Coturnix japonica: one gene and its partners. The protein of the gene in region 3 interacts with the protein of the main gene of each other region in a biochemical or structural test. Links are inferred from orthologs where the notes say so. Each region holds a gene or a part of one and is shown on either strand. Other genes may lie near its edges.

Region 1 (4,216 bases), on a different chromosome or scaffold from region 3:
AGGGAAGCCAGGGAACAGGGTATCACAGAATCATAGCATAGAATCACAGCATGGCCTGGGTTGCACACAGTGCTCATCCATCCCAACCCCCTGCTGTGTGCAGGGTCACAACCAGCAGCCAGGGCTGCCCAGAGCCGCATCCAGCCTGGCCTTGAATGCCTGCAGGGCTGGGAGCTGCAGCCTGTGCTGATGCTGCTCCAGCAGCAAGAACACAAAGAAACAGTTCCTAGAAGGAGCAAAGTGGGAACCTTTGCTGGGAGGAAGGTGCCGCTGGCAGCAGGACGCAGCACACAGCGCTGCTTGTGGAGCAGTGTCCGTGTACCCCTGTGACACACTGACAGCACGACACATAAAACGTTTTATTAACCCCATGAAATGGTCAAATACAAACACAAGATGTTCAGTTCTGGACAGCAGGAGCCCAGTCAGTGCTGGATTCCAGCCGGGAGCTGCAGTGCACACAGCAGCTCATACACGTTCCCTTCCTCCTCCTGCCCCCGGTGCCGTTGTGCTGCCGGTTTTGGCCGCCATGTCGGGCAGTCCCGGCTGCTGCTGTGGGTGCAGAGAACGCGGCTCGGCCTGGCCCGGCTGTGACACCGGGCAGTTCAGCGGCTCCACACGGGAGCTGCCATCAGGTGACCGTCCCGCAGCCACCTCCCGGCCACGGCAACGCACCGACCCCGCGGCTCCGTTACGTGCCCGCGGGAGCCGCGTCGGGATCAGCGGGAGCCGCTTCGTGTCCGTCCGGTGCGGCCGGTTCCGCGCTGTGCTCGGTGCGGGCGGCGCGGCGCTGCACGATGCCGGGCATCAAGGACACGTAGGCGCCCATCAGCCGGTGGTTGGAGCGGACCAGCTTCCCGGCGCAGCCGTCCAGGCACCGCTCCTACGGGCGGCACCGGCTCCGTTCGGCTCCGTTCACCCCGTCCCGTCCCGTCCCGTCCCGTCCCGCCCGGTCCCCGCTCACCTCGCGCCGTGACAGCAGCCGGTGCCCGAGGTCGGAGACGCAGCGGCGGAAGCAGAGCTCGGTCATGCGGTTGTACACCAGCAGGAAGTCCCGCAGCTGCAAAACAGCGGCACGTACGGTCACCGGGACGGCCCGGCACCGCCGAACCGGGACGAACCGAACCGAACCGAACCGGGCCGCCCACCATCTTCCCCCCGTCCCCCCACACTCACACTGCGGAGCTGCTGCTGCTGTTCGGCCGCCGCCGCCTCCATGTCGGCCCGCCCCGCGCTGCCGGAAGTACCGGCACTTCCGCCCCGCCGCACTTCCGCTCGGGGATCTACAGCACGTCACTTCCGGCTCGGTCTCCCGGCGCCCCCCGCGCGGGTCGTGACGTAACTTCCGGCGCGTCCGGGCCGAGGCGGATCGAGGCCGCGGAGCCTCCGGGGCGGGGGGGCCCAGCGGGGCCGGGCGGGGCAGGTGGGACATAACGGGACATAACGGGACATAACGGGACGGGCTGGGCTGGGCTGGGCTGGGCTGAAGGTCGGGGTGAAGGTCGGGCCCCGGGTGGGAGCCGGGCTGGGAGCCCCGGTGCCGCCGCAGGGCCCGGCCGTGCAGTGACAGCCCGGCCTTTGGGCCGCCCCGGTCCCGTCCCGGTTCCTGGTGCCGTTGCAGCCGCTGCTCGTGTCGCTCCTGCTCGTCCCGCCCGGGCTCTCGGTGCTCGTTGGCTCCGAGCGGCGGCTGCGAGTCCCGGGCCGGGCCGCAGCGCTGCCCCCAATGCCGGTACCGAGGGGCGGGTCCAGCTCGTGATAACGGCGCTCGGTGCGGGCGGGGCGATGCTCGGAATGTGACCGGACCGGTCCGGCCGGGCCCTGCCGCGCTCTGCCGACGTGGCCCCGAGCCCCGCGCCAGGAGCCGTGGGGAGCTCGGACCGAGGGGACACGAGGAGCCCCGTGAACGAACCGTGTGTCCCCGCAGGCCCTGACCATGTCGGATGGGATCATGAGCAAAGCCGCCACCATGGAGATCCCCATCAGCAGCAACGGGGACGCCGGCAGCCTGCCCGAAGATGACGGCCTGGAGCAGGTGTGGGGCTGCGCCGGGGCCTCACGTCGGCCCCATGGGTTGGGGGTCTGTCCTTGTGCTTCAATTTAATGCTCTGCTCCCCCAGGACCTGCAGCAAGTGATGGTGTCGGGGCCCAACCTCAACGAAACCAGCATCGTGTCTGGTGGCTACGGGGGAACCGCTGAAGGCATCATCCCCACCGGCACCATCAAAGGTACAAACGGCTTCCACAGGGACGGGGCTGTGGGTGGGGGTCAGCTGGGTGTTCTGCTGGAGGCTTTAGGGCTCAGTGCTGGGGTCACAGCCCACCCTGCTGCAGCCCTGAACGGGGCCAGTCTGTGTCCCTGCTCCCAGCAGCTCTGCTCGTAGCTGAGGCCGTCCTGAGTCACAGCCACGTGGCCCTGCAGAGCTCAGCCTCCTCACAGCCCCAGAGCACAGCACTGCTGCCACCCCGCCAATGCTGTGGGGCCCATCCTGGGGGTGTGATTTCCACCCAGCTGCACTTCTTACCCTGCACGTGCCCTTGGCTCACAGGCAGCTGTGGAGATGCCTGGCTCTCTCGTAGATGCAGGGCTTCTGCTGAGGGAGCTGCTCTGCCCTCCTGGGGCACTGGTGTGATGTGTGGGCTCAGCTCTTGGGTATCCAAGAGCCCCAAAGGTGCACAGTACTGGCACAGCTGTGGTGGCTGCACCTGAGAGACACCTTTCAGACAGAGGGGGACAGGGCAGAAGGGTTCTGAGCCCCAGACTCTGCGTTAATGTCCCGTTTTTGCTGTTGCTGCCCACCTGGGAGCCCCAGGCACTTCTGAGCCTGTCTGTAAATGCTCTGTGCTGGAGGGATGGTGTCCACGGGCTTCTGGGGAGCTGCTGCTGCTGCACACCCAGAGCCACAGTCAGTGCAGCTGGAGCAGCTCTGCCCCATCCATCCCTCTCACCCTGTTCCCATTTCATACAAGTCTCTGTCCCAGCTCTTGGCCAGTCTGGCCCATCTGCTGCAAACAACTGTTTTCACTGTGGGTCCTTCCATGTTGTGCCAGGCTGAACGGGTGAATTAACTTAGGCAGAGGGGAGATGAGCTTTTGCTGACAGCCTGCTGTGGCTGGGGGGATATTGTGCAGTGGTTCCCTGTGTCTGTCAGTCCTGGCCTGTCCCAGTTCTCAACCTGGTACGTGTTGATACCAGCCTGGGGATGGGGAGGAAGCAAGAGAGGAGCCTGGGTGCCTCTGACGTGATGCTGTCTGTGCGGCTGCCATCTGTATCTACTGATTTCACATCACTCTTTCATCTGCTCCCCTGCTGCCACCCTTCCTGCACACTCATCCCTGTGTCCTGGTTGCTCCTGCCCTCGTGTCCTTCACACCCCCCCCACCTCTTCCCTCTGCTCACCTCCTGCCAGCCCCTCCATTTCCAGGCTGTCTTGTCCAACCTCACTCACCCCGAGGACCATCCATCTCCCCCAGTGCATCTGCCGCCAGCAGGATGGCCAGCCAGGCTGGTGCTTCAGCAGGTACTGCAGCCACCCCAGCGCCCCATGGTGCGACACAGCCTTTGAGTCCTCCTGTCTCAGGCTTAGGGCCCGGGCTTAAGGCTCCCGTTGTGTGCAGTGTTTCTCAGGGTCAGTTTCTTGCCCTGCTGTGGTGGGGAGCAACCCAAAGCAACCCAGACCCAACCCATGCCTCCCCCAGCAGCAGAGTCTACTCACGGTTCTTGTGCTGGGGGCACACGTGGCACTTCCAAACCACAGTGCACCAGGCAATGAGGCCGAGCTGTGCCTGGCTGTGGGATGCACTGTGTGTCTGCCTGGCCTCTCCTCCACCTCTACCATGCCCCGGAGCACAAGGAGTATTGCCTAGCACAGGAGCACCAGGGCCATTGGTGTGCAGGGCTGTCCCTGCCAGCAGCTCTGCAAGTGAAAGGGGGAACAGCATCTCCCATGTGGGCAGCAGCCAATGCAGTGAGCACCAGGGCCTTGGTTATCAATGTCTAGTAGGGTTTTGGGGGCCAGATTCTGTGCTGCAAGAGGCCAAGTCCTGCTGCTTGCAGGCAGGTGACAAATCACAGGACACTGAGGGCTCTGTTGAGCCTGGTAGCAGTGCCTGACTGGCAGGGGGGAGCCGCTGCCTGCCTGCATCTCATGGGGCTGCCCAGGGTGGATCTGCCTGCACCAGGAGTCTGCTCTGCTTGCACTTCATCAGGCCGCAGTGT
Region 2 (4,188 bases), on a different chromosome or scaffold from region 3:
AACTACAAGATCCTTGAGGTCCCTTCCAACCCGGGTCATTCTGTGATTCTGTGATCTACAGACTGGTGCAATGTAATGCACGGCTGAGTTTTAAGGAGTTGAGGGTTTGGGCAGGGGGAGGTGGCAGTCTTTGCTTTTGCCCTGTTATAGAATCACAGAATTACAGGGGTTGGAAGGGACCTCCAGAGATCAAGTCCAACCCCCCAGTTACAGTTCCCTACCATTTATTCTAGTTGTATACCAGTGTATGTTTATTCCCAGTTTTGAAAGGTCAGTTCAGCAATAAAGTACTGACGTTCAGGTTAATTTCAAGAGATTTGGTGTATCTTCTCGGCTACTGCTGAACTACTGACCATTACTGCTTAAAACTGACCATTCTATGATGATTCTATGACATCTTCTGAAACTTTCTAGAATACTTAAAAATGCTAATCCTGATCTTGTGCATGTCGTATATGAAAATGGATGGATGCATAGGAAATTGAAGAAGGAAAGCAAATACAAAATTACTCATGAGGATTCAGGAGCACCTACTGGCATCATCAGCACTGCATTACTCTACTGTATGTGCATAGTTAAATAAACAACTCTAAAACAAGTATCCTTAGCTCTGCTCACCTTGATAGCGGACCAGAGTCAACAGGAAAAGCTGAACACAGTTGCAGACACTTCTAAATTCATTGTTGGTTGCAGGCAACTGCTCTGCCTTCTGCCCCTTTCCCATGTTACAAAACTGTTCACCAGGACCATTGCTCTGCACAATCCTGCCTGATTTTACCTCCTCGTGGCCACTCTTCAGAAGCAAGAGATGCAATGCATAGTAATGCTGCCTTCCAACTCGCTCTCATTCACAGCTCCTGGAATCGGATGAATTGAATACCTGTCTGCTGCTCAAGACAGGCAACTGTTCTGTAAACAAATGGAGCCAGTGCTTCCTGACAAGGAGTTACCCAGCACAAATACAGCACACGAACACAGTGTAATCTACAAGGAAGGACACCGACCAGCCCAGAGTTGGACTGGGACACAAGTCTGTGAGACTTTCAAAGGCACCTTTGGGCTAGAAAGCACAATGAGAAAGGCCAAGAACTACATATAGGTCTGCTCACAAAACAAAGAAATCAGTAAATACACAGAGCTCTAGCAGAGGGCTGGACACAGGCTGGCTGGGGTAGGTGGCAGGCTGAAAGACCTTCTCCCCTCTGCCAGCCATCCCAGCCCATCACCACCCTCTGCACAACCCTGCACTATTTGGCTTATCCCTGTATGGCAGATTGGATAAAAGCACCCCACTGTCAGCTCCCGAGGGAAGCTGTGCTCCTGCACAGCCTCCCCTTAGGTTTGGGATTGGGAAGGGACCCTAGTATCACAAGCATTGCCTCCTTTGACACAATAACAAGAGCACGCCTCTCCTTCCCATCAAAGCCACTCCTAGCTGCACCGTACACAGAAGCACGTGAAGTTGGGAAACGCTTTCCTGCTACTTATTTCCATCACTCATCTCTATTTCAGTGCGCCTGCAGCAGAACCTGTTCCCTACTCCATCTCAGGACCCCATCATCCTCCCAGGCTTGCCAGAAGTGCATGGACAGCCCTGCGTTGCTGTAATGCTCAGCACCCAGCTCCATGGGGCTCTGGAGACCAGAGGTTGGGAGGCACAGCAAGACAGGCTGGGAAACCACCACGGCTGTCATGCAGATGGAAGGATGCACCAACAAACTATTCCTGAGGAGGGTCTGCGCCCCACTGTGTGACTGGTGCCAAGGAATGGACACGCATTATTTCCAGCTGCATCTCACACATAGAATAACAGAACCACAGGGGTCAGGAGGGACCTCTGAAGATCATCAAGTCCAACCCCTGCTAAAGCAGGTTCCCTAGGGGAGGTCACACAGGACATTCAGGTGGGTTCTGAGTCATTCAAGAGAAGGAGACTCCACACTCTCTCTGTGCAGCCTGCTCCAGGCCATGGCTGTCCCAGCCAGCTGTCCCCGTTGTTACTCAATACTCCTGTGTCATTTCCATAACACCTGTGAGCTCCGGGGTCATTTCCACATCCCCCATTTGCTTGCAGTCCATGAGGACAGCACCAAGTCACCAAACAGAGCAGGGTGGACAACAGCACAAAGCGGTGACAGCCACAACCTGTGGGGAACTAAGGACCCTGCTCCAAACCCAGCACCCTACAGAGCTCAAAGGTTTCCAACTCTGAGGCTCAAGAAAGACACACACACGGCAGGTGACCACAGCCACCTGCCAGGTGACCTTCAACAGTCACCAGCAAGATGGGGAAAGTTGGTTCCATGAGGTGTGCCGGCACACGGAGGCCCCCAGAAAGCCAAAATAAAGCAAGCAAGCAGGACAACAGCCCGCATTACAAGGAAATTCAATTGAACGTTAGGGGCGGACGCGGGGCTCAGGGAGCGCTTTTTGTTCCCTCCCGCCGCTTCCATCCTCCTCGGGAGGAACTCGGCACCGAATCTCCGGGGTCCCCAAGGCGGAGGCCGCCGCCGCCGTGCCCCCCGCGCCATGCCGCCGCCCCCGGCCTGACAAAGCCCGCTGCCCCCGACTCACTTTCTCGATGGATCCCGGCAGCAGGCGCTCGAGCAGGCGGCACAGCACCACGCCGTCCTTCAGGGAGGACTGCAGGAAGCCCTCGGGGTCGGCGATGCTCTTCTTGGGCGACTCCAGCACGCCCAGGGCGATCAGCCACGTAACGGTCTGCTCGGCCGAAGTCATGGCCGCGCGGAGCTGGGTTGGAGGGGAGGGGGGTGAGGGGGGGGCGGCTTTATGGGATCGCTGTCTCCCCTCCCCGGGCGGGGGTTTCAGGCCGAGGCCCCCGCCTCCCCCATGTGAATGCGGATGACGACGCCCCGCCACACACACACACACTCACACATATACACACACACACACACACACACATGCAGCCGCAGAGCCGCCTCCTCCCCGCCCCGTGACGGCACGGGGCTTGCGCGCCCGCGGAGCCCCCCCCCCTCCCGCACCCGCGGAGCCGGACCGGGCGGTGGCTGCCCCCCGGCGGCACGAGCGACGCGGAGGTTCCGCGGGTGCGGAGCGCTGGGGGAGCCGCCCGGCTCCGCAGGCTGCGTGCGGCGGGGCCTGTGCTGCACGGGGACAGCGGGATGAGGCGGGAGGGTGATCGGGATCGATGCGTTGGTGTGAGCGCGGTGAGGCGCTGGAACGGGTTGCCCACAGAGGATGTGTGCGCCCCATCTCCGGAGGGATCCAAGGCCAGGTTGGATGGGGCTCTTAGGGCTGTTACTGCCTCGTCTGTCAGCCTCTCGAGCAGTGAGGAGGCACTCCAGATAGATGCACATTTCTGCCTTTGCCAAACCAGGGCTGGGATTTCAGTGGAGAGGAGACTGGTTGAACATTGGTCTGACCAGAAACCAGAGCTCCCATGCAGCAGGTAACTCTCACAGGAGGTTTGCCCTATGGAAGTTTACATCCTCCTGAGAAAACGTCTCATCCCCACAAAGCAATACTTCACATCAAACACACAGATTGTGGAATCGGAGGATGGCTCAGGTTGGAAGAGTCCTTAAATATCACTTCATTCCAAGCTGATTCATTCCAAGCCCTGTGCTCAGCTGCCCAGGGTTCCATCCAACCTGGCTTTGAGCCCCTCCAGGGAAGGGGCACCACAGCTTACAGCCAGCCAGCCAGAGATACTCGGGGGATAGCGGGTGCTCTCCTCCTAAGCACTCAAACCTTCTCCAGCTACAATAGAATCATAGAAGTTGGAAAAGACCACGAGTCCAACCTCAACCCACCCCCACCCCCTGGTGCCCACTGACTATGTCCCTCAGTGCCACACTACCTCACGGCAGGTGCTGTTAGAACCGTGCCAAAGCAGAAATGCTGTCACTGGGTCAGATCACTGTTGAAAGTTCTGTTAATGTCTTCTTCATTTTGTAGGGCAATGAAGGCAACTCACAGTGTTATATCCTTGCAGCATTTGTCACTTTTACCCCGGCTGTGTTCTTTGGATGGAAGTGCCCTCAGAGAGCTCTGGCAGGTCTGCCACAGCCCCAAGTGTAGCCCTGCTTCTGTACTCCTGAGACCATCGGTGCAACAGCTGCACCAGCTTTGTCTTCTAAGTGCAGCTTGGGTTAATGGCATTGATCCGTTGCGTTCTTTATTCTCCCAGAAACCAATAATGAGCAT
Region 3 (4,493 bases):
GTCCTCCATGTGGGTAAGAAAGAAATGGCGGAGGAACTGGGAGGTGGGGAAAGGAGAAGTACTTCTACATGTCACTTGAATCTTTCCATGCTCTGATCTCCTCAGGACCCTGACATGAATCAGACAGCGTTCACGTCTGCTCTATTTCTGTGTGGTATCTGAAAGGCCCCAGAAGCGGCTGCAGCAGCCAAGAGCAGCAGGAGCGCCGTGCCACTGCCCACAGCTCCCTTCTGCAGCTCCCGGGGCTGCCAAGTCATTGGCAGAGCAGTCTGGGCTTTAAGGATATTCAGCCTGAATGACGAATCGTTTCAGCTTCCATCTGTACGGGGGAACGTGGACATACAGGTTTTATAAAAACAGCCTTTCTCTTTTCAGAGATAGACACTGACATGAAATATCTGAGAATTATCATTGCCCTCCAAAGGAAAGAGAATAAATATTGTGGGATGCTCTGTCCACCGACGAGGTTTCATTTGATAGTTTCCAAATAATTTAGACATGTTCTGAAATGAATAGGAGATGAATCACTGGATAAATCCCTGGGATGGCACCTCTGTTGATTGCAGTGAATGGTCACTCAGCACAAGCAGTGACTGCTCGGGTCTCTTCCTCGTGCTTCCTTTGATGGATGGCAACACAAGGAGAATGGTGAATGTGTGCATCAGTCCAACCAGCAGCGTCTTCCAAGGAGAATAACAGCAACTGTGGAAAGGAAAAGGCTCCTGGGGCCATTGGGCCTGATCTGCTCAACTTTTACTTCAACAGTTACAGGAAATAAATGGTTTCCTTAGGGTAAAAAAGAAACCCAGGGCTCTGTGCAGCCTGGCAGCCCCGGTACGCGTGGTCCAGGCTGCCCCACCTGGGGAAGCTGGCTGTGCACTGATCTGGGCTAAAACCTGCCGGCAGATTGAATGAATGTCACAGCATGGCAGGGGGAGAGAGGGCAGCAGGAGGATCTGCCGATGGAAGGAGGCTTCTGGCTGCGCTCTGTGCTGGCACATGGAGCGAGAGGGACCGGCCTGAGGGGAAACGGGCATCTGTCCGTGGTGGCACACAGTGAGTGCCACAGGTTGGCCTTAACTCGAGTTACATCGGTAAATCTGTACAGCGAACCTAATTCCACACTGACACGTTTCGTACAATGTCGTGCATCGGTTTGTGCACAACAGCCTCGTGGCAGACCGGCCTGAGGAGCGTTGAAGGCAGGGATAACAAAATGGTGTCCAAAGGAGCGTTTGCTGTGAGCTTTGTGGCCATGCGATAGCAGTGAGCCGGGCAGGGCGGGATGGCGGGGTTCTGCATCCCGGTGTGCGGGCACACCGAGCTACCGCCCGGCCCGGCAGCACCGCTGCGTGACAGCGCGATTCTGTGCGGCTCCGTGCGAGTCAACGACGGCAAAAAGCAGAAGGGACCGGGACCGGCCCGTGTCGCAGCGCTGCGGGGAAGCCCGGCCCGACCCCGACGGGCGGAGGAACCGGGCGGCGGCGCCGCAGCGTGTCCCGGGAGGGCGGGGCGGCCGGAGCGGGCCCGGAGGCGGAGCGGCAGCGCGGAGCCCGGCCGGATGTGAGCGGAGCGGCCGCTTCCTGTTTCCCGCAGTTCTCTCCCCGCCCTGGGTGGTGGCCGCTGCCTCGTCCCCGCTCGCAGGCTCAGGGCGGAGGCGGCCGCGACACGCTGCGGAGCGACTGAGACGCGCTCCGCCGCCGGCTGCTTTATCGAGCGGCGCTCCACGCCCCGCCCCGCTCCGCAGCCGCGATGCAGGCCATCAAATGCGTGGTGGTGGGCGACGGGTGAGTGCGGACCCGCGGACCGACCCCTTCGGTCGGGCCCGAGCCCGAGCCGCGCTGGATCCCGAGGGCGGGGGCGGCGCGGGGACGAGCGGGGGGTTGGGGCTTGTGCGGGCGGGGGAGGGGAGCGAGAGCGGGACGGGCGGCGACCAGTGCCGGCAAATGGAGGCGACGGGAGGGGCGGGAGCAGCGCGGCCGGTGCGGGCCCGAACGCGGCCACAGCCCGAGTCCGAGCCCAGCCCGAGTCCGAGCCCAGCCCGAGTCCGAGCCCAGCCCGCTCCGCGCCGTGGCGGCGGGTGGTGCCGACCGAGGCGGCTGCGCGGGGCGGGGGTGCGGGCGGCCGGGCGGGGCCCAGCGGGGCTGCGGGATGTGAGCACTGGGAGCTGAGCACTGTGAGCTCTGTGAGCTGTGCAATGTGCGTTGTGAGCTGTGTGAGCTGAGCACTGTGAGCTCTGTGAGCTGTGCAATGTGCGGTGTGAGCTGTGTGAGCTGAGCACTGTGAGCTCTGTGCGCTGTGCGGGGCCGCGCCGGGGAGGAGGCAGCGCGTCACGGGGGGAATGGGCTGAAGGGCGGGGGGCGGATCGTACCGTGTGGAGCCACAAAGTACCGAACTCACATCGCTACATCCGCTTTTTGCTGCACAACTACGAACAATCTGTTCCGCTCCAATCGAACCATACGCGCCGTGTGAGCTGAGCGTTTTCCTGCTCGCACGGCTCCCGTCTGGGGAGGTTCCTGCCTGCAAGAGGCTGAGAAAGCAATCGAAACCCAACTCATTAACATCGTACTCAGCTGTAAATCACTGCTGTGCCTACAGCGCTCCGAATGGGATGTGCCTTATACATTAGTTAGAAACAAGTTGTTAGGATCAGGTTAGCACTAAGCTGACCTGTTGGATTCCAGCATAAGCACTGCAGCTGTGATGGGGATGTTGTGTTGCTGCTTCTCAGTACTCACCACCATGTGTTGCCATTGGCCCAGAGGCTCCTTTCTCTCTCGCTGGGGCAGCAGTGCAGGGCAGCTGAACAAGGCGTGGCTTGTGCACTTCCACGGGGCTTTTTTCCCCCTCGGTAGAAACAAAAATCCCAGTGTAGGCCGAGCATAATCGGTGTCACAGCAAACCCCTGCGGGTGACAGAGGCTGTAAGTGTGGCTGATGGCCTTGCTGCTGTCTCTGTAATTGAATGTGGTGGATTAACCTTCCAGTTTCCTGTGTGTGGCTTTGTATTTTTCAACAAGGCTTGGAGTCCCTGAGCTGGCAGCTGTTAGAAAGATAAACTGAGCTCACGTGGCACATGTGTTCGGCCTGCTCTTACTGTGCAGGGTTTTGAGCCGAACACGAGTGTACTGAGCACTTGATCATCTGACAGAGACTTGTCATAGCACTGTAACTGATGGATCCATCACTGTAATTGATGGATGGTGGGCAGTGTGACTGCAGGCAAACCTTTCAGTTGCGTTGACTTTAAAGGTGACTAAAATCCCTTTTTTTAATTGTCATTTTTAAAGTGAATTGATGTCTGTGGCAGTGCTGGAAATCAACGTGGTGCATCGAGTTTGGGTGGGGAGAAAGTTCTGCCTGTTTCCTCTGCTGGGTTGAGGAGCTCAGTACGGACGCTGTGTTACTCAATGACTCGCTCAGCAAAGCAGTTCTTCTTTGTCTCTTGCTTTGTAAACTACTCCTTTTCTCAATGCATTTCCTGCTGGAAATGAAAGTGTGTCATCCCACCCAAGTCTTACACGTACGTGTGAACAAAACACGGCATTCAGTGGGCTTTCCTTCCTCTGCAGTTAGAAGCACATACCTCCTAGGATCCCATCTAGAAGCCGCTGCTCAGTTTTGCTATCTGTTCATTGACTTCTGCTGGGATTTTTAAATATTTTATGGTGCTTCTCTGCTGTTGCTTCACGAGTGAAGACATTACAGGCGTTCTGGTAAATGCGGAATGTTTGGCTTAGATAAGGCTAAAGCTCTGGTACTTCAGGAAAACAATGCAGGTTAAAGATTTGCTCATATGACATAAAACTTAGGCGCTGATTTATGTGCCCTGTGGAGATCCACTGGGAACAAACCAGCTGTGGATGTACCTGTGCAGCCTTAACAGCTGGAAGCAAGCAGGCGGTTTCTGAGCTGTTTTTGTTCTTAGGGCTCTGACTGGTATCTTTTTAGAGCTCTAATTTGGCTACAAAACACAGCATGTTTGCTGGTTGTGCAATCTTGTTTTGCCCTTGTTTTCCTCTTCATTGTGAGGATTGTTAGAGGGAAAATAAACAGCAACTGTTGCTTGTGCTTGTGGAAGATGCAGAGCAGTAGGAACGTGTGCTGGGATAACAAGGGCAGGAGCTGCTGCTGACTGACACTTGTGGAGAGCACTGCTAGGAGTTATTTTTAGCAGCTTTTGTTTTCACTCTGAAAAAGCAGCTGTTCAGTGGTATGAAATCTCAAGTGATCTCGTGTAACGCTGGGGGAAGTTCTGTGCTTTGGAATGATGATTATTGGGTGACAGAGAAACGGTCAGCTTCCTGCTCTTCTGGAGCTGGTTTTCATTGTAAAACTATTGTAAGAAAAGAGTCTGTCTGGAATTGTGCTCGCCTTGAGGCCTTGCTGGCTAAAGCTGTGCTGCCTGATCTGATAACTTGTCAAGAGGAAGGAAGGGGGGTGATGGGCTCCTTACTGAGTGCAGGGTGAGGTTCCGAGCACCTCTGCTCT

What was found.
Region 1: the proteins of RAC1 (region 3) and ARFIP2 form a complex in vitro, tested with the Homo sapiens proteins (2 studies listed by BioGRID and IntAct, with this or other methods). The link is inferred for Coturnix japonica from reciprocal best matches to the Homo sapiens genes RAC1 and ARFIP2.
Region 2: the proteins of RAC1 (region 3) and ARHGEF7 form a complex in vitro, tested with the Homo sapiens proteins (2 studies listed by IntAct). The link is inferred for Coturnix japonica from reciprocal best matches to the Homo sapiens genes RAC1 and ARHGEF7.

Annotation. Positions count from the first base shown.
Region 1 is NC_029516.1:174,018,037-174,022,252, forward strand, and holds the start of ARFIP2 (arfaptin-2), read left to right. Parts: upstream 1-1,309; 5' UTR 1,310-1,423; intron 1,424-1,924; 5' UTR 1,925-1,933; coding exon 1,934-2,032; intron 2,033-2,117; coding exon 2,118-2,226; intron 2,227-3,407; coding exon 3,408-3,518; intron 3,519-4,216. Other genes in the region: TIMM10B (mitochondrial import inner membrane translocase subunit Tim10 B), read right to left, coding at 692-883, 965-1,060, 1,177-1,218. UniProt on the Homo sapiens protein: Plays a role in constitutive metalloproteinase (MMP) secretion from the trans Golgi network. May have important functions during vesicle biogenesis at certain cargo subdomains, which could be predominantly utilized by secreted MMPs, such as MMP7 and MMP2.
Region 2 is NC_029516.1:125,507,044-125,511,231, reverse strand, and holds the start of ARHGEF7 (rho guanine nucleotide exchange factor 7), read right to left. Parts: upstream 2,908-4,188; 5' UTR 2,740-2,907; coding exon 2,575-2,739; intron 1-2,574. UniProt on the Homo sapiens protein: Acts as a RAC1 guanine nucleotide exchange factor (GEF) and can induce membrane ruffling. Functions in cell migration, attachment and cell spreading. Promotes targeting of RAC1 to focal adhesions. May function as a positive regulator of apoptosis.
Region 3 is NC_029529.1:8,463,393-8,467,885, reverse strand, and holds the start of RAC1 (ras-related C3 botulinum toxin substrate 1), read left to right. Parts: upstream 1-1,567; 5' UTR 1,568-1,752; coding exon 1,753-1,787; intron 1,788-4,493. UniProt on the Homo sapiens protein: Plasma membrane-associated small GTPase which cycles between active GTP-bound and inactive GDP-bound states.